Astyanax mexicanus: one gene and its partner. The protein of the gene in region 1 interacts with the protein of each later gene in a biochemical or structural test. Links are inferred from orthologs where the notes say so. Each region holds a gene or a part of one and is shown on either strand. Other genes may lie near its edges.

Evidence for each region.
Region 2: the proteins of pou2f1b (region 1) and POU domain class 2-associating factor 1 are reported together in a solved structure, tested with the Homo sapiens proteins (2 studies listed by BioGRID, with this or other methods). The link is inferred for Astyanax mexicanus from reciprocal best matches to the Homo sapiens genes POU2F1 and POU2AF1.

The regions. Positions count from the first base shown.
Region 1 is NC_064418.1:5,045,454-5,056,002, forward strand, and holds the start of pou2f1b (POU domain, class 2, transcription factor 1b), read right to left. Parts: upstream 5,259-10,549; 5' UTR 5,195-5,258; coding exon 5,149-5,194; intron 1-5,148. Other genes in the region: gpa33b (cell surface A33 antigen), read left to right, coding at 7,875-7,941, 9,036-9,205, 9,313-9,529. UniProt on the Homo sapiens protein: Transcription factor that binds to the octamer motif (5'-ATTTGCAT-3') and activates the promoters of the genes for some small nuclear RNAs (snRNA) and of genes such as those for histone H2B and immunoglobulins.
Region 2 is NC_064425.1:6,053,878-6,064,107, reverse strand, and holds the start of POU domain class 2-associating factor 1, read right to left. Parts: upstream 4,650-10,230; 5' UTR 4,522-4,649; coding exon 4,506-4,521; intron 1-4,505. UniProt on the Homo sapiens protein: Transcriptional coactivator that specifically associates with either POU2F1/OCT1 or POU2F2/OCT2. It boosts the POU2F1/OCT1 mediated promoter activity and to a lesser extent, that of POU2F2/OCT2. It recognizes the POU domains of POU2F1/OCT1 and POU2F2/OCT2.

The DNA of each region.
Region 1 (10,549 bases):
GGATGTGTTTTTACTGAAATAACATGGTTCAAATGTGTCTCAGGCTTCTGAAATGCTTCTGCATTTGACTACCAAGTGTAAATGTATGTGGCCAAACTATCAGCAGAATCTATACATATGGAATGACTAGGTGTAAAGAGGGCTTTCTCCTAATAAAGCACTTAAAACGTACAGAACAGAGCTTGGCACCTGGTGGAGAGACCTTTACTGGATCTTCATTCCATTGGAGGTCAGTAGGACAGTGCTAAACCTCTATGGGTCTATTTTCCAGGCACGGATGAAGCCTAGGCCCAGACTAAGAGATTTTTTTTCTATTGAAATAAAAATAAAAAAATTAGCCTATTACTAAGCTCAATCAATTCCCACGAAAATGACTCTATAAGTTTGCTGTTGTTGACAGGCTTGTTACCTGTGATCTGTTACACTTGGCCATTTTTTTTTTAGAAGACTTCCAGGTAATTAAGCCAAACTGACATTTAAGAGGAACACTAAACGTGGTTTGGCCTTTACATAGTGTCTCCCAGCCAATCACACAACAAGATCAGAACTAACTGCAACAAAATAAATCCTATATTCATCTGGAATGCGAATTTCGGTAGATATAGTCCCATATTCTACCAAAAAAATTACCCAATATTGATGCACCCCTAAAAATAACCAGTTGCCCCATTAAACACTGGACCAATGATCCAGTGATTACATAACAAATTGGTATTGATGGGTCTGATTTCAAACAAAAATGCCAGATCAGATGGAAAAAAAAGAAATAAATATAAATCCAAGTCTGGAACAAATCTATTTGTTCAAATCTGAAACAGTGTGTGAAGCGAAGTGTGATATGAGAATATAATAGTGCATGAGAGAGCTATATTGGCAGATTACTAACAAATCAATATTTATAGTGGAAAATAAAGCATCATCATGTCATCTTAATTCATAATTAAACAAGCTCTCTGTATGTACTGTCTGCGGTGCCCTCTAATCTAGTCTTACTGTGAACAGAGCATCAATAGAAATAGAAAACACTTTATTAACTCATTTTAAACCACAATTATTGTGGGGAATGTGACAGTATTTTGTTAGCATGATGCAGAATATACTTTGTGAGTACATAATGGGTTTTGTCAATGAATAAAGAAGCATGAAGCATGCTTCATTACAGTGAATGTGAGATTTGTCCAATTTAATTGTTTGTAATGCCGCACAATGTAAATAAAAATCACTGAATGGTACTAAGTATGGCCACTAAAGCATGTTTGTTGTGTCAAAACATGAACTAATGTACTAAAATACTGTAATACAATACAGTACCACAGTTTCTAAAACTACACACAGCTATGCTGCTATTTCTCACTGATAAAAGCTAGATTTGCTGCTGTGTTCCTGGGTATTGGTTTCATTCATCCCTCAGTCTATTAATTTTGGGAGGCTTTTGTTTGAGTCTTTCAGATCATTCAGTAATGGGGCTGCCACTTGTTTTCAGCTCTTACAGGCAGCTTTGAAACACTCCCTCCCCAGTTACATGCAACAAAAACATGACTGAAATCCACCTCAGTTGTTCATGCACAGCAATAAGTTATTAACGCAACACACAGACGTGTTTCAGCTTGCCACAGCTTCTCACAGGCCGGGCTCGATACAAACATAAAAGAACATCTTTCTGAGCAGAGCAGGTCTACGCGTTACCTTCGGGACAGCGGCTCTCTTTTTTTTTTCCTGGCACGTCCCATTAGACTTTCTAATGAGGCCCTAGGCTAATGGGCCTAAGCCTATGCATTCTTTAATCGCAAACCAACACCTCCCCCATGCAGCTACAGGAGAGCAACAGACACACTTTAAAAACATGAGAAAAGAGAAAAGAAAGAGAAAGAGGCAAAAGTCAGTGAACTGTTACAATAAATCAGCCAAATGTCCATGCTAGGCTACAACACCAAGGATATTAAAATGATGGCGAGATGTGAAATGTGGGGCAAAAAAAGAGAAGACAGCAAAATGTAAAAAAAAAATAATAATAAATAAATAATAAAAGAAAGAAAAACCCTCAGATGATACTCAAATACAATAAGCATTTATAAGTATAAAGAGGCTTGTAAAATGTAAAACAGCGATGAATTAATTCATGTTAATGTATTTTGTTTGGGTTTTTGAATAAAATTGTAATCTATGTTATGGAAGTAAAACACATACAGCAAACGTTTTACAAACTTGGCTACAAGACTTGAATGTGCTTGTAAAGCTAAATTTGGCTTAGTTAGCTCACTTAACAGTCCATCTTAAATGCATTTGTGTATTAGTTTAATTTTGGTGCCTGAAAATGTAGAATTTAAGGAAAAAAGGATAGGATATAGGGAGTCAAAAAAGGCCTGTATATTGCTGTATCAGCAAGAAACAAGCGTGAAACTGAAGCGAGTGGACTGCTTGCCTCTTGTCCAGGCTGCTCAGGCCTAAGTTAATGAAATTCATTCAGCCGCTAGCTGGCCTGCTACATATGCAGCAGCAGCAACAGCTGCCCGGCTACAATAGGGCAATAGAGCCCAGCTCACTGGCAGCATAACCTACTCCAGATATTGGCTAAAACGCCTGCAGAAAACTCAATGAACTGTTTAGTCAGCTGTATACATACCCATGAAATGGGCTAAGCTAGCTACAACCTATTTAGCCCACCTTTTAATTTGGCTCTACTAGCTTGGCCTGGTGTAAACAATGTAGTGTTACAATTGTTTTTAAAAGGTGAATATCCACCAACACAAAGAGAGACAAGAGAGGCTAGCCAATGTAGTTAGCTGTTATTCTAGCTGTTTAGGCATAGATAGATAAATAGCTAATCTGGGAGTGTGTCATTGTGGGATTTAGCTAGTTATTCAGTGTGAATATTCTGAACAGTATCTGCTCTGTAGTCTTTATCTGCTCTAACTACATGTTATCTGCAGGTATGGGGGAAAGAAATTAAAGAATTTGGACTTTTTAACACAGAGAAAATTAAGACCACTTTAACAAACCCAGCATTAGTATGCCTCACATTAGTTTACAACCTTTATAATAATATTTCCCTGCATCATCTGATAAACCAATGTCTAAAAAAATAGGTTAACTAGTTAATTCAGTGCTGCACAAACAAAAATGGGTCTTGTAGCCAGATAAGCTTACCAGTGCACAAGAACATATTATGCAGCAAATAATACTGCAGAATATTTAGTGCATGCATATAAACTGCAAACTAAAACAAATATACAATAATACACCTAACGCTTCACAGTAAATAATAGACTACTTTTAAGACAGAACAGCCCTATTATCACGATATGGATTTTTCATATGTTATTTCTGTGTCACGATATATTGCATACGATATAATATTGCCCACCCCTTATCTGCAGGTATGGGGGAATAAAATCAAAGACGAAATTAAGACCACTTTCACAACCCCAAAATTACTAGACATTCGTTTCAGCCTTTATAATAAGTCTTTCCTGCATTTATTGATGACCAATATATTAAATATTAGTTTGTTAATTAACTAGTTGGCTAGGTTCACACTGCTGCACAAACAAAAATGGGACTGGAAGTTCATATAACCTAGGTAATACAATTAAACAAGGTTCGGTGCAAAACTGGGGCTTTGTAACCAGTTTTCATTACATTTAGGCTTAATAACCCTTAATATAAAAAGATAGTTCAGTTATTAGCTACTAACTAACTAAATAAGTAAGATAACTTAGCTAACTTGCATATCAAATAGAAAAACTGCGAAATATAACTAGACAAAATGAATCCTAAGTAGTGTTTACTGTCGATGAAATTGTAAGGCCTTTGAAAGACAGGTTTACGATAAATGCAGGCCTTTTTCTTTAAGCTAAATTAATTTAAGTGTCTGCACATCTGTTGTCTTTAACGTAACAGCCAACAACAACAGGCCCACATGAATAGCTAGTTAGCTAAGCTAGGTTAGCTAACACACACATATAGCTATATACACACAACGGGGCCACACGCCTGCTTCTCCTGCTGCAGTGGGACACAAAGGCAGAAGACAAAATATGGACATAAAATCAGCCTTAGAAGCTCCCCTGTCCTTCAGCCCGCACCGAGCAGCCCTCCGCCGCTCGGCAGATCACATTTACGGTTGTAAACACTGCGCGCAGACGCCGAGCGATTGCGAGGAAATGAATATGCAAAGCTTTTATCAGCCATAGGCTCCCAGCACACAATACACAAACACACAAAGCCGCCGTATTAGCATTAGCATTAGCCTTAGCGTTAGCGTAGCGCCGGTGTCCTGCCAAGTTGTGCTATTCATCGAAATGTGCTTCTCAACACCAGTGCGCATGCGTGGAACCACTTTTTTATTTTTATTTGTATGTTTTTAATAGCAATTCTGTTCTAACTGGGTGTGTTAAACAACCAGACGCACCTGCCAGTATTAGTATAGAGTATTACAACTGTGTAAATGAGGATAATAATAAAAAGTTGATAATAATAAAAAGAATAATAATAAAAAACTATTAAATATAACATTAAATACAAAAATACGTTACTGGTTATGCATATCACCCCTATTAACTTAACGTTAACTTTAAACTGTGTCCTTATATGCTGATTCAAGCTTTCCAAGCGAGGCATTTTTTTGGGGGGTCTTTTTCTTGCATTTTTACGTTTAAATATAATTACACTAGAGTAGCATGGTTTGCCAGGGTAGCACAACTCGACAGAACACCGGCCGCCCGGCTCCCTCTCTCTCCCTCTCTCTGTGCCCCGACACCGGGGGGATAATACCCCACAACCGCGGGCTCGGACTGGGACCGGAGTAAATAACAATAATAATACTAACCCGCTGTGATGCCGCTGATTACTAATAAAATATGCTAAACCGCGTTCTCCCGGCCGCAATATGAATATGTAAGTCGCGCAGCTCCGCTCTAATCACACAAAGAGGGGGATTTTCGCCTTTAATTCTCCGTCGCCCAGCATCGCCACTTTCCCCCTCACACCGCCGACAGCTCCCCAGCACCGAGCGGCCGACAGACAGCCCGACCCCGCCGCCGCCGCGGCCCCGGGGGCTCTGTTCACGCGCTCCCCTCTCGCTTAACGGGCTTGAGAGAAAGAGCGTTTGAATATGAATATGAATATGTAAAATGCAGTAATGATTACCTGCTCCTGAACTCTCATCTTGACTCGCTGCTCCTCCGTCCGCCATTTTGAATATTTAAACTCAGATCCCAGCCCAACAGCAGCAGCAACAGCAGCGCCCCATTCAACACACACACACACACACACACACACACAGAGTGGCAGTGAACTTCACACTCTCTCACACACCTCTGAATGCTGAATGAACCTCCACACACACACACACACTCATACACACCAGGATACTCATCACTCCATAAAAGAAGTTTACTGAATGCAATGTAAATGTGCGGTTCATGCTGCAGTTGTTCTGCAGGTTTAGGTTCAACAACAGTATGTGCTGAAAGAATGAGAATGAAAGCTGACTACCTGAATATATTGAATATTATAGACCAGCTTATTCCATCAATGGATTTCATCTTCATTGATAACACGGCCATATTCTGAGATGACAATGCTAGGATTCATGGGGCTGGATTTGTGAAAGAGTTCAGGGTTCAGGGAGCATGAGATCATAATTTTCTTTACACATGGATTGAGAGAGTTCACCACAGAGTCCAGACCTTAACCTCATTGAGAATCTTTGGGATGTGCTGGATGGAGAAGAGCTGCTTTGTGCAGCGGTCAGACTCTACCATCATCAATACTGCAAGATCTTGGTGAAAAATTAATGCAGCGACACTGGATTTCAATAAATCTTGTGATGTTGCAGAATCTTATTAAAACAATGAATGTGTTCTTATTCTGCAACCAAAGCCAAAGGCGGTCCAATTAAATATTAGTTTTTGGTGGCGACTTTTTTATTTTTTGGCCAGGCAGTGTATTTTGCAGTCCAGCAATCCTGTAAAAAGACAATGTGGAAAGTTTTCTGTTTTTGGTCTTCAATAGTGTAACCTGACCTTTACCATTCCTGTAAAATGCCATTCTTTAGGCAACTGATGAGTTCACAACAGTTCAACTCCACCCAATGGCCAAAACATACTAGTGCATCTCAAAATATTTGAATATCATTGAAACTGATATATTATATAGATGTATTACACACAGAGTGTTAAATTCTTTTAAGTGTTTATTTCTTTTATTGTTGATGATTATGGCTTACAGCCAATGAAAACCCAAAAATCAGTGTCTCAGAAAATTTAAATATTATATAAGACCAATTGGTACTTTTGGCAGTGTGGGCAGTATGCTAAGTCCTGCTGGAAAATGAAATCTACATCTCTGCATCATAAAAGTTGTCGGCAGAGGGAAGTATAAAGTGCTGTAAGAGGGAAAACAAAACTGCACTGACTATGGACTTGATAGAACACAGTGGATCAACACCAGCATATGACATGTCTCTCCAAACCATCACTGATTGGTGGAAACTTCACACTAGATCTCAAGCAGCTTGGACTGTGTGTCTCCACTCTTCCTCCAGACTCTGCTCCCTTGATTTACAAATGAAATGTAAAAATTAACTGATGGTCAGTAATGCTTTGAAGAGTCCACTGTCCCTATGACTTTTGTTTTGACCCTTTTTTTTAACCACATTTATTCTTGCTGTTTAATCAATTGCACATGTAATTTTAAAATCCAAGTGGTTTGAGTTTATCCAAAAAAGGTTGGATTAATTGCTCAGTTTACCAATTTTACTTATTTCCATAGTTTACTCATTACTTTAGACTTAGCTCAGACTTCTAAATAATAATAATTGATACCAATGATATAGTGCCATCTGCTGGATAGAACAGCTTATGCATCGTTCAGAACACCAACCTCAATATGCCCCACCTGATCCAACTCATTCATCTCTTCAGAAGGGCTTGTTTGGCTTGATGAGGAGTGTTAGACTGAAATTGGAGGTAAAAACTGCTGAAAAATACAATGTATCTCAATGAGGCAGCCTGAATACTGTTATATAGGGGATATGGGGGAATAAACAGATTACAGACAACCGAACAAGCATTACCCAGTGTATATTAATTAGTATACACTGCTCATTACTATTCCACATGCCAAACATTAGCCTACACAGTACTGGAAAATATTTAACTTGGCAGAAGTGAGTGTAGAAAAGTGACTTTACAGCATATATAAGCATATTTATGTTTTTTTTGTCTTTACAGTATGCACTGTCTTTAGTAAGAAATAAAGACCTTAAAGAAAGGCAATTTAAAATAATAGGTGTAGCTTTGAATATCTAGATGAATGTGTATGACTTAGTAAGAAACTAAAAAAATAAAGTATACTAAAATATATATATAGTAAATGCAACCTTTGCAGCAAGTTACACATAAAACACAGTTTCTTTTTTCTCATGACAATTATTATTAATTTATTATATACAGTAATACAATGACCAAATTAAAGTCTGTGCCAAAGCTTGGGCACCTTACAAATGTAATTACAGCCTGCAGATACTTATTGTTGCTAAAATGATTTGCTTTTCTGGGATTTGTTAAATGTTTGAAGACAATGGAATCCATCATTGAGGGCAAACCTGGCTCTATGTACATGAGCACAACTCTTATACTCTTGCTATATTTCATTCTTATGCTCAGAAAGTAGACAACAACTTCAGTACTGTGGTTTTTATAGTAATTCAAAGGGACGCTCACTGAAAGTCCAAAGGGTGAACAGGTGTGGCTGGTGAGGGTGTGCAGATGGAGCCGTTTTATTTGTCACACCTATTGACCCAGCAGTCATAAGGAAGTGTGCAGACACCAAACCGTCAAGTATTTATTCTGTTACAGGACTGAAATAAAATGACCAGAGAGAGCAGAATGGACAAGCGGAAACTGAGAATCTGTGGGATTGGGGTGCTGTTTTCAGGTAATATTAGAATACATTATTTTTTTGTATCATTAATGAATATGGTATTGAATGTAATTTTTTTTAAACAACAAAATTCTTGGTTTTGTTGTTCAAATGTGACAGCAGTATTTCAGTAATTATGTTTTCATTAAAATATATTAGTCAGTATTACATCAATGAAAATATATTTTCTTTCAGTTATTTTTGACCATTTTTAACCACTTTCACTTTACACAATGTTAAGGACAAGCAGCATTTCCTTATGTGTAAATAATATGTAAAAATAACCGAAAATATACAGAATATGTTATGGAAGTGGAAATATATGTATTTGAGAAAAAAAGACAGAGAGAGGAAAGTTTTAAAAAGCACATAGATCAACCAAAAAAATAATCATGTTCATTCATTTTGAATATCGGGTGGGTCAAAAGGTAAAGAGCGGAAGTACTAGGGCAAAATAGGCCAAACGACTTTTTTAAAAACAAATTTTGCTTTGATTTTAATACATTTTAATATGAATATCAACTAAAAATTTGCTACAAAAAGTTCTGTATTATTTCTAATTGGGGTTGTTTAAGGATTCTTTAACAAATACATTTGAATGTTATTTAAGGCTATACTGTTAGCAAGCATGGCCTTATATAGCTCTATCTTGTAACAATATGGAACACTTTTTTGGAAAACACCAAAAATTGTTTTGCAAGTGTTACAATTTATAGAACATTTTTTCTAACAATGTAGTAAAATGTCAAAGTTCCATAAAACACACCTGAATAAATAAATGGAAAGCCATTATAAAGCTGTATTTAGGAAATAATTTTTTAGCTATGTGTTAAAGGTGCATGTAATGACTATTGGATTTCCATTTAGAGTGGTGGATACTGGCTGGTGTTATAGATGTTATCTGGAGAAGGAATTGTCAAAAACGAATAGGAAAAACTAGAATGCATTCTGTCTTATCTGTCCATTGTTTGTAGATCTGTTGTTCTTTGGCCTTCATTTAAGAGAAATGAAATGTATTGTGTTGTGTGGCATTGCCTGCTCTGTGTTTTTACAAAAAATAAGTTATAAAACACCTGCCATGTGGTTTCTTTTGGTTTCTTTCTCCGTAGTGATTTCTACTTCTTTTGGGTTGGAAGTTAATATTCCACAATCCACATATAAAGTTGCTCGAGGTGACCAAGTTGCCATCACATGCACTTTTCAGCCCAAAAACCCAGTGAATAATCTCATTATCATCTCATGGACTGCTGACCCTGATGGCTCATTTGATGATGAAGGGGTAAGTGTGAAAAAAAAACATTTGGATGAGTTTTCCTAGAAAACAGATGACTATAGAAAGGTTCTTTGCAAATAACAAAACTGCATCTCTTCTCCCTTTCAATATAGCTTAATTTTGGGACGTTCTACTCCAATGACAACCATGTCGACATTGATCCAATGTATGAGGGCAAAATCCAGATTGACAGCAATGTGAACACTCGAGTCTCTACACTGACACTGAAGCAAGCGACCCTGAGAGAAAACAGGCGAATCAAATGCCGAGTTAATATTCCTGGAGATACTGTGGGCCAAACTACAGCCACTACTTCCCTTGTGGTTCTGGGTGAGAATAAATTAATCATAATTAAAGTAATTTCAGTTTAAAATGTGATATGTGTTCCAATGCCTAGGGTGCAGCTGAGTTGGTCTGCAGTGTTTCTGTGATACACAATGGAACTCAGTTTTAAAGTGTAGAGCCCTTACATACAGCAAAGTGCAGTGAAATGAAGTGATTTGAAGGGCACAACTGATGCATCATGACGTATCTGACCCTTGAATACCCATAAAAGAAAAAACAAGAAAAATAGCAGCACTGAAATTGGGTAAAAGTGGCCGAAAGCGAAGACTTCATTACAACTTTATAAATTATTTATAATGTATTTATGTGAAGAAATTAGTTTTGTGCCGTAAGTAATCACATGATATATGCATTGGACATCACCACAAAGCCTCATTAAGGCCTAGAAAGTCAGATTGGATTTACATAAGGAAAATAAATATATATATATATATATATATATATCAGATGCACATAATAAAATAATTTTAATTAGAAGAAATATATATTAATGCCGAACACTTAAATGTTTTATTTGTTATAAAACATTCTAACAGTTTTACTATTAATTTAATGCAAATTATAGTTTAGTGAATTATTATTTATTCAGCCAACATGACTTTTAATACTCATTTAAAGCCGAACTAAACTAACATGTATTAATATTTATTTAATCAAAATTATAGTCTTAACATAATTCACAATCTAACAATTATCATCTTCACAAGTGATAAATGAGTTATTCTGAATTAGTTAATGAGTGGTTCATAAGCATTTTGACAACATAAAGGCAAACACAAAGGCAATTTGCAAACACAATATTCTTAAACATTAAGTCAAAATCTTTCTTAAAAATAAATTGACCAATAGAAATGCTCCAAATTGACCTGAAATAAACTATTTTTACATTCACTTTAATTTAAAGTTAAGTAGATTTTATCTCACTCCTGTAAAGTAGCTGTTTTGGAGATACCTATCTATCAATGCTTCCAGCACACCTGACCCAACAATGTAATTCATTAACAA
Region 2 (10,230 bases), on another chromosome or scaffold:
GTGTGATACGTATGTACCTTTTGACTGATTAAATGGTACCAAGCTGTTTTTTTAGTGTGTATAAGCACATATTTCTCAATGTTTAAATGCATTTTTCTTGTTTTTGTAAATATATATTTTTTTGCCATGTATATACAGTATTATTAAACTGAATTTCTGTAGAAAATCTTGTTATTGCACTGACTGAACATCCATCACTGACTTAATAGGTAGTGCACAAGGCAAGACCACTGCTTATCTTTCTCTCTAATGAAACTGAAGGAATTTCAGTAAGAGTTCAGACCACACAGAAAAACTGCATAAATCACTTAATAACCGACCAGGAAAAATAAACAAACTCAACACAACCTTCTCCTATCTCCCACTCCTACACTTTAAGTGTGCTATAGCACTTTTAGACTAACACCCAGAAGTTTGGGACAGCATGAAAAACACAAATATAAAAAATAAGTAAAAGAAAACTCTGGATAAAAATGAAGAGAGCACTTCAGTTTCTGAATCAGTTTCTCTGATTGATTTTGTTATTTATAGGTTTATCTTTGAGTAAAATGAACATTTTATTCTATAAACTACAGACAACAATTCTCCCAAATTACAAGTAAAAATATTCTCATTTAGAGCATTTATTTGCAGAAAATGAGAAATGGCTGAAATAACAAAAAAGATGCAGAGCCTTCAGACCTCAAATAATGCAAAGAAAACAAGATCATATTCTTAAAGAGTTTTAAGAGTTCAGAAATCAATATTTGGTGGAATAACCCTGGTTTTTAATCACAGTTTTTTTTTTCATGCATCTTGGCATCATGTTCTCCTCCACCAGTCTTACACACTGCTTTTGGATAACTTTATGCTGCTTTACTCCTGGTGTAAAAATTCAGGCAGTTCAGTTTGGTTTGATGGCTTGTGATCATATATCTTCCTCTTGATTATATTCCAGAGGTTTTCAATTTGGTAAAATCAAAGAAACTCATCATTTTAAGTGGTCTCAATTTTTTTTTACAGAACTGTACATCCATTCCAGAATTCTGCGATTAAATTTCATAAAAAGTTGATATAGAGGACATTCATTTGATTTGGTGCAAAAGCAGTATCCACAAAAGAGTTTAAGGAACCTTAAATAATGATTTGAAGAGATGTATGTATTTTTCCCTATACATCCCTTAATATCATTAAACTATTCAAGGAATTGGGAAGTCTAAGCCTAAGAATCCCTGTTACCTCCTCTTGCTGATAGAACCACATGGGCAAGGGATTGCTTTAGTAAAGCTGTGTTAAACACTACAACATAACACACAACAATATAATATCTTGGGTTATTATTGTCTGCACTTAAATAAAAGCCAAATGAAATGTAAGAAACACTGTGCATTTTTCCTAAATTGGCTTTTTTGATTTGTGGTTGTGCGTGTATATTAGGGTTGTGACGATTCTCTAAATCCTCGATTCGATTTTATTTCCGATTTTAAGATCACGATTCGATTAAATTCTCGATTTTTCTTTTTTCTTTTTCTAACAGCAGAGAGGCCTATGCTAGTTTTAGATTAGTCTATGGTCAGTCATTGGTTTGATTCATCCAATTTACAATATCTTATTTTAAAAGGTGGGCTTGATATAAGTGATGCAAAGTGATTCAAGTGATCTGTAATACACCACATTAGGCACTAATGCTCAAATTTAAATAATTTAATTAAGATATATATGTAATGCCATCTAGTGGCTTTTTTTGGTAGCAGCAGTGTGCACTATTAAAACAGCAATGTGCAACATAACAAAATAAATAATAAAAACATACAGGAACAGTCATGTACAAAATAATAGAACAATTAGAGCCTTAACAAACTGAACTCTATCCTACTATAACAGTTAAACATTAAAAATAAGACTTTAAGACTTTTTCGGTCCCTGAGAATGACAAGTTTTTTTCTTTAATAAAGATATATTATTAACTTTATCTGAGAGAAAGATGCTCCTTAAGGTACCAAAACTATTAACATATTTGAGGCTAGACAAAACAACTGTTATTTTTATATGTTCAAGTTTTTCTTTAAGAAGATGAGAATGTCCACATTCTCTGGAGAAAGGGCAGCTCTTTGAGCAGTCACAATGTCCGCGTATCGAAAGTATCGGAATCGTGACACCCCTAATGTATGTGTATATTAGGATGGTTGCAATAAATTTGGAATGGTGGAAGAATTCAGTCAGTGACAAAATAAGCCAAAAGTATAGATACTGGGGTTTAAAATACTTCTGTAGAAGTTGAAGAAGTATCAACTCAAGCTTTTTACTCTTTAAGTAAAAGTGTTTAAAAAAGTACTGGATTCAAAACTACTTAAAAGTATAAAAGTAAAAGTAATGTAAGAGAAAAAAATAAAGCCCTTAAGAACAAAACCTTTTTTTTTTAATTGGCTCTTTCTTGAACTTAATTTTAAAATCAATATATTTTTTTAAATGAACACAAATCAAACAGTTTATGTCTCCAAACCTTTACTTTCGTTTTTTTATGTCTATTTTCAAACATGCAGAATTTGTGTTGACTCCTGTTACTGATCTGGAATTATTAATGAAGGCAGCTTCTTCAAGTGTCCTGAAGGAGATTTAAAGTTAGAATAGCAGCCCGTAAAGTTTTAGAGTGTAAATATTTTAAATTATTTTACTGCAGACACCTGTAGCTCTTATATGGGTCCATGCATGTTAATAGATTATTATATATATTTTTTTCATTTTTGATTTGTGGTTGTGCATTTCTATGAAGAAATCATGGTGGAAATCACAGTTGAGCGCAGAACTGCCTTGGAAATCACAAAAAATAATACATGTAATTTAACGTTTTTAAATCCAGTCACCTTAAAAAACAAGCAAACCACCAAACTAAAGCTCTGTAAGTTGTGGGTCAACAGTAGCTCTGAATAACTGCAGTCTGGCGGCACAATACAAGCACAGCAGGATTTCAGGGGGTTCAAAAAGAGGAAGCTCTGCAGCTGTGAAGACTTCTTTTTTTTATGCAGAAGAGAGACAATTGTGCTGTTTTGCATACCAAGATTAAACCACCAACCTCCCCCCATCCACCCCTCACCCCTCCAGAGCAGGACTGCTCTGCAGGGTGTTTAACACCTCCGCCGAGAGCGAGAGGACTCTCAAACGATAAGCTCATCACTACTCACGGTTTTATTATCACACCACAATAAAACACGGCGCATTACCACGCCTGCGTGATCCAGACAAACTGAATATAACCACTTCCACAACTGCACAGGGTTAATTATTACTGCTGGAAATAAAACAAGCAGCACCAGCTGACCATCTGGGTGCTGTAGGAACAAGCAATGAAATGAATATGGGCTAAAAAAAAAAAAACTGGTTATGGAATGTTTTAATAAAGTGATAAAAAACAGTGATATGAAAAATGTTGGGCTTTTCTGATCATTTTCATAATTTTTCTTCATAAATCATTGGTTGTTCAAGTCAGAAATTCTCCTTTATACTCAGTGTTGGGCACAATACTTTGAAAAAGTAATTAATTACAGTTACTAGTTACTTCTCCCAAAAAGTAACTAAGTTACTCCACTATAAAAGTAACTAGTTACCAGTAAAAGTAACTATTGCGTTACTTTTGTGTTACTTGTCCCCATTTATTTCAACGCCGTTATTCCCATCACTGTTTATACTAAATATCAAATGTTTGCAATCAGTGTTCAAAAATTTGCAAACTAAATTTCTATAATAAAATAAAAAGTAAAATTAAGTATATAGAATTGTGTCCGGCACGATGCCACCAATAGCTACAAAGCTTTAATGAATTTTTGAATATTAAAAATTAACATCAAGATCAAGAACCTATATTGGTTAGATTTGGTGTCTAACCAATCAAACCTGCACCAAGATTTTAGATTCATTTACATAACCCATGTCATTTTTAAATAGAATTGTTTATGAAATACCAAATTCTGAAGTGCTTTAACACATTATCAACATTATTTTTAATGCTGTTTTCACGATAATGATACTCTTGGCCATATAACACCAAAACTGAAAAACACTGAATTAAATTTCAAGAATACACTTCTGCAACAAAATGAAAATTTAAATAAATAATTGCATACGATATGATGTGGCACACCCCTAACTGAGATATTAAAAAATACAAGAAAAAATACAAGAATTTTACCAGAATTTTGATCCAGAATGTCACGATACTAATAATAATGCACTCCAAATATCTCCATATATCCAGGATTAAAGTATTAAAGTAAAATAAATGATACTGGACAGATATAATCTGTCTCTAGTAGATATATAATAAGAAATTAAAACAGTGTGAATTTTTCTTTAGCTAAAAATATGCCTTTATATCTCAATATTTTGTTTAAATGTACTTTTGTAGAATAAATAAACATATTTACCTATTTTTAAGTTTTTTGGCTTTAAAAAGTGTTTTAAAACTGCCCAAAATTTGCATTTAATCTTTTCTCTTTTGCAGTAAATATGTAATCATAAATTGTACTTACATTTTCCCATGTGCATACTCTGATTTGCAAAAAACAAAAAAAGATTTGGTTATTGTGTAAGCATTCAGATTTTCTTTCCGAATGTGCGCACGCTCGCCTCAGAATTCAGCATCGATTGCTTGAGTGAGCTGCTTTATAAAAGCTGCAGCAATGCAGTTTCAAGTGATGTCACCAAGATGCAGAAGCACCAGTTTCCCACTTAATTTAAATGTCTTGTGCTGTCCTTTTTTAAGAGTGCTGAGATCTTTAGCGTAACATTAAACACATTACAGCATTCAGACCAAACTCAACATTGTTTAATTTTAATAAGGACTCAAGAACTTACACAGTATTCTAGCTTTAGGAAATCTGAAATGTTTTTTATCCAGACCAGTTGTAAGCAGGTCTATCACAGTGATTTGATTTATCTACTGAATAAGAAGTGACAGCAGTAGTAAAGCTGGGCAGTGCTGTGGCTACTGCCACCATGGCACCATTGGACTTGATTTAACACAGTGGATCAACACCAGCAGATGACAGACATGTCTCTCCAAACCATCACTGATTGTGAAAAAAACTTCACACTAGACCTCAGGTTCAAAATGTGAAACTCATATATTATATAGATGTATTAAACACAGTGATCTATTTTAAGTGTTTTTTCTTTCATTGTTGATGATTATGATTATGGCTTACAGACAATGAAAACCCCCAAAAAACAGTGTCTCCAAACCATCACTGATCATCAGTAAATTTTACATTTCATTTTTAAACGAAGGGAGCAGAGTCTGGAGGAAGAGTGGAGAGACACACAGTCCAAGCTGCTCGAGGTCTAGTGTGAAGTTTCCACCAATCAGTGATGGTTTGGACAGAGGGAGACATGTCATCTGCTGGTGTTGATCCACTGTGTTTTATTATCAAGTCTAAAGTCAAAATCTTACAGCACTTCATGCTTCCCTCTGCTCAAAACAACTTTTATGGAGATGCGGATTTTATTTTCCAGCAGGACTTGGCACACTGCCCACACTGCCAAAAGTAAATTTTCTGAGACACTGATTTTTGGGTTTTTTAATTTTTTTTCATTTCTAAATGAGTCAATGCTTTTCAAGAAATGGAAAAAGTATAAAATGTCTCACTTTAAACTGATATCTGATTTGTGTTTATGTTATACTCTGAATGAAGTGTGGGTCTATGAGAATTACGATTCATTGCAGTTTGTTATTATTCACATTCATTTTACACATTTTTCAGAGTATCCCAACTTTTTTATAGAAGTTGAGAACATGGAAATCTATTTAACATATTGTATGATTTAAAATGATCATGAGTTGTTTGAATCTGCTGCCCAAATTACGTTTGTGAGAGTTTTGGAGCTGAGCTGAAACTGCCAGGCCAGTGGATTTATCAGTATCGAAAAGGAAGCACCTGCTCAGAGTTTAAGGTTCACTGACCATCTGATCATCACCGTGTTTCCTGTCCCAGCTCTTCTCAATTTTAATTTAGCACCAACAAACCCAAGGCCCGGCTTAAAAAGAGCAAAATAACAGACGATCAAGACCAGGAACAAGACAGTATTGACACAGCATCCAGCATAGTACATTTATCACTTAACCCCTTAACATGCCGTGTCCTGCATACAGGCTACAGGTGTAGGTGATACAGAATACTTTTTTCTGCAGTAAAATTACTAAATAATAATTTACACTCTAAAAAAATTGAGGGTTTTTAAATCTCCTACAGGACACTTGGAGAAGCTGCCTGTTTTCTCTCTACTCCACTTAATGATTCCGGTTTCAGGTTTGAAACAGACGAAAAAACTAGACAAATATAATGAAATTAAAGGTTTGGAGGATGTAAACTGTTTGATTTGTATTCAGGAAAATACTGATTTTAAAATGAAACAGGAAACTTCATTATTTTGACATTAGTAGATTTACTTAAATATATTTTTTTATTTTTTGTTTCAATTACAATTATGATTTCCAGTAATGTTTCTTATCAAACATGAAAGCTTTTTATGTAATGCTTGAATAGAAATCCTCAAGATTTAGTGGTGTAACGTCAAGCAGACAATTGCCAAAAGTCCTGGCCTGTTAATGGTTACATTTAAATTTATTGTTAATTGAGCCATTAATCATATATATATATATATATATATATTGTTACATCAGAACAAACCACTTTCTAATAATTAGCATTGCTCTTTGTATTCCATGGTCATTTCCACTGGGTTACCCTTAACAATTAACAGAGAACAATAATAATGAACAGAGAAAAGTAAGGAAATACAGAACTTACTGCATCTATATCAGGTTATGGTTACGGTAGAACAGCCTTTCTCCATGGCGCTCAATACAAAATGAAAAATACACTACTGTAGCTTCCTAAAAAACTGATGCATTTAAACAAGCATTGTCTAATGCAAACTACAGCGGTGGCTTGATGCAAAAAGATGCAACTGATGCAATTTCCATAGGCCTCAGTGGATACAAAGTAAGACGTCAAAGCAATCCATCAAAGTGCAACGTGCACAGTTATCTTGTCACAACACTACCTGTGATATACTGTTTACTCCCTTCAGGGTAGCGTCCAGTACATTCACTACCATTACTAAACGACCCACAAACAATAAGGTCAAGCACCCAGTGACCCACACTCAACCCCCTGACCTTTAATGCAGCTGTACGTTATCATAAACCTATCATTTTCCAGCTTTACGCCTGGAGCCACCAGTAAAGAGTGTCACATTGTTCAGAGAAGAGACACAGTTCCTGGTCACAAGTGCTCACAAGTGCTCACACGCAGCTGGCCCTCCACGCGGGAACTCACTGCCTGTGCTGTTCAGGGTGAGGATTTCACATTCTGCAGTCTGGAGCTGCGTCTGACCAAAGCAGCACAGCAGTGTAGGTGCAGGTAATATATGGCTTTAGAAGATTAGACAGAGATTAAGCAGTGAAAGCCCCTTCAGGCTGCCCTCGGGGATCAGGGCTGGGAGGAATCTGCCAGCAGAAGTGTTGCAGAGATCACTTAAAACATGTCATCTAGAAGTGAAGTGTGAACACACATTATTTAAAGTGACACATAATCATTAATGTCAAAAATACACGCGGCATATCTTTAAATACTGTGTAAAACATGGTGCATTGCAATATGTTGGAATATGAAGGAAATGTACTGTATTTATAACGGCCTATTTGTCCTAATTGATCAAAATTCTGATAATTATTTATAGTGTTTTAGTTAAGACTTTTATTACAGTACCAGGCCAATTTTTGGCCACACCTTGTCATTCAATGTTTTTATTTATTTGATGGAATAACTCTGGTTTTTAATCACAGTTTTCATGCAAATTGGCATATTTTAAGCACCACATACCTGTAGTCATTCATGTCAAAAATACACGCAGTTACTTTGTTGGTCTATTTTTAAATGCTGTGTTATAACATGGTATACTGCAGTGTGTTGGAATATGAAGGAAATGAACTGTATTTGTATCACATAGCTTATTTTTCCTAATTAATCAAATTTCTGATCAATATTCTTATTGAGACTTTTATTACAGCACCAGGCCAATTTTTGGACACACTTTGTCATTCAATGTTTTTATTTATTTGAGGGAATAACTCTGGTTTTTTAATCACGGTTTTCATGCATATTGGCATGTTGGCGGGCTCCAGCTCATCCCAAATCACTATCTCAGTTGATCAGGTTTAGATCAGGGGATTAATGTGGAGGATTAACACTTTTTTTTACTGTTTAATATGTAATTCCATATGTACTCCTTAACTGTTTATCCTGTTTACATTATTTTAAGCACCACATAATCAATAATGTAAAAAATACACGCAGTTACTTTGTTGGTCTATCTTTAAATACTGTGTAGAACATGTTATACTGCAATGTGTTGGAATATGAAGGAAATTTACTGTATTATTAAAATTCTGATCATTATTCATAGTTTTTAGTTGAGACTTTTATTACAGCACCAGGCCAATTTTGGACACACCTTGTTATTCAATGTTTTTATTCATTTGAGGGAATAACCCTGGTTTTTAATCACAGTTTTCATGCATATTGGCATCTTGGCAAGTTCCCGCTCATCCCAGATCACTATTTTATTTGATCAGGTTTAGATCAGGGGATTAATGTGGAGGATTAACACTTTTTATACTGTTTACTACATAATTCCATATGTATCCCTTAACTGTTCATCCTGTGGTAATGGGAAACACAAATAAAAAAGCCAAGTTAATCTGTTTTAGAAAGGTTAATCTACTGACATACATCAAGCAAAGAAAACATAATTCCATGTAAAGTTCTTCAGTATTTAAAAAGTGACCCAGGGATGAGATGTTCAGGACAAATGAGACAAGAAGATTTGAAATGCTGCAGGGCGCAAACCCAATACTGCCTATTTCTCAACGATCCCAATCCCAGCTGTGAAGCTTTTCCTCAGTGAGGAAAGGAGTGTGGATGATGCATACACAACATACTAGTGCATGTCAAAATATTATATTGAAAATATCATTGAAAAGTTGCTTTATATCAGTAATTCCATTAAAAATGTGAACACAGATCTATGTTAAGCATGTGTTTATTTTATAGTTGAAAACCCGACACCAGCAGATGAAATGTCTCTCCAAGTCTTTATTATCAAGTCTAAAGTCAGTGCAGTTTTGTTTTCCCACAAAATCTTACAGCACTTCATGCTTCTCTCTGCTGAAAACAACTTTTATGGAGACGTGGATTTCATTTTCCAGCAGGACTTGGCACACAGTACCAGTTGGTTTCATATAATATTCATATTTTCTAAGACACAGATGTTGGGGTTTTCATTGGCTGTAAGCCATACGTAGATCACTCTGTGTGTAATATATTACATTACATTACATTACATTTGGCAGACGCTTTTGTCCAAAGCGACTTACAATAGTCAAGTACAATGTAAAATAAGTTTAAAGGTAAAAACATCTTTGGATAGGGATAAAAGGAGGTCAAAGGGGAATAATTGGATAGAGGAGTGAAGGAGGGGAAGAAGGAAATGAGGTTAGAAGTAGTTAGTTAGTTAGAGGTGTTAGTAGAGTAAGTGCTCTTTGAAGAGCTCTGTCTTCAGGAGTTTATTAAAGATAGTGAGAGATTCTCCTGATCTGGTAGTAGAAGGTAGTTAGTTAGAGGTGTTAGGAGAGTAAGTGCTCTTTGAAGAGCTCTGTCTTCAGGAGTTTATTAAAGATAGTGAGAGATTCTCCTGATCTGGTAGTAGAAGGTAGTTAGTTAGAGGTGTTAGGAGAGTATTAGCTCTTTGAAGAGCTCTGTCTTCAGGGGTCTCTTAAAGATAGCGAGAGATTCTCCTGATCTGGTAGTAGAAGGTAGTTAGTTAGAGGTGTTAGGAGAGTATTAGCTCTTTGAAGAGCTCTGTCTTCAGGAGTTTATTAAAGATAGCGAGAGATTCTCCTGATCTGGTAGTAGAAGGTAGTTTGTTCCACCATTGGGGAACTCTGTATGAGAACAGTCTGGATTGCTTTGTGTGAATGTTTGTTTGGTAAAGCGAGGCGACGTTCATTGGAGGAGCGCAGCGGCCGGGAGGTAGCGTAAGCCTTCAGGAGCGAGTGCAGGTAGGAAGGAGCCTGTTCTGTCATCACCTTGTAGGCGATATATATCTATTTAATATATGAGTTTCTGAAATAAAGTAACTTTTCAATGATATTCTAACTTTTTGAGATGCACTAGTATTCCAGTGTTAAATGAA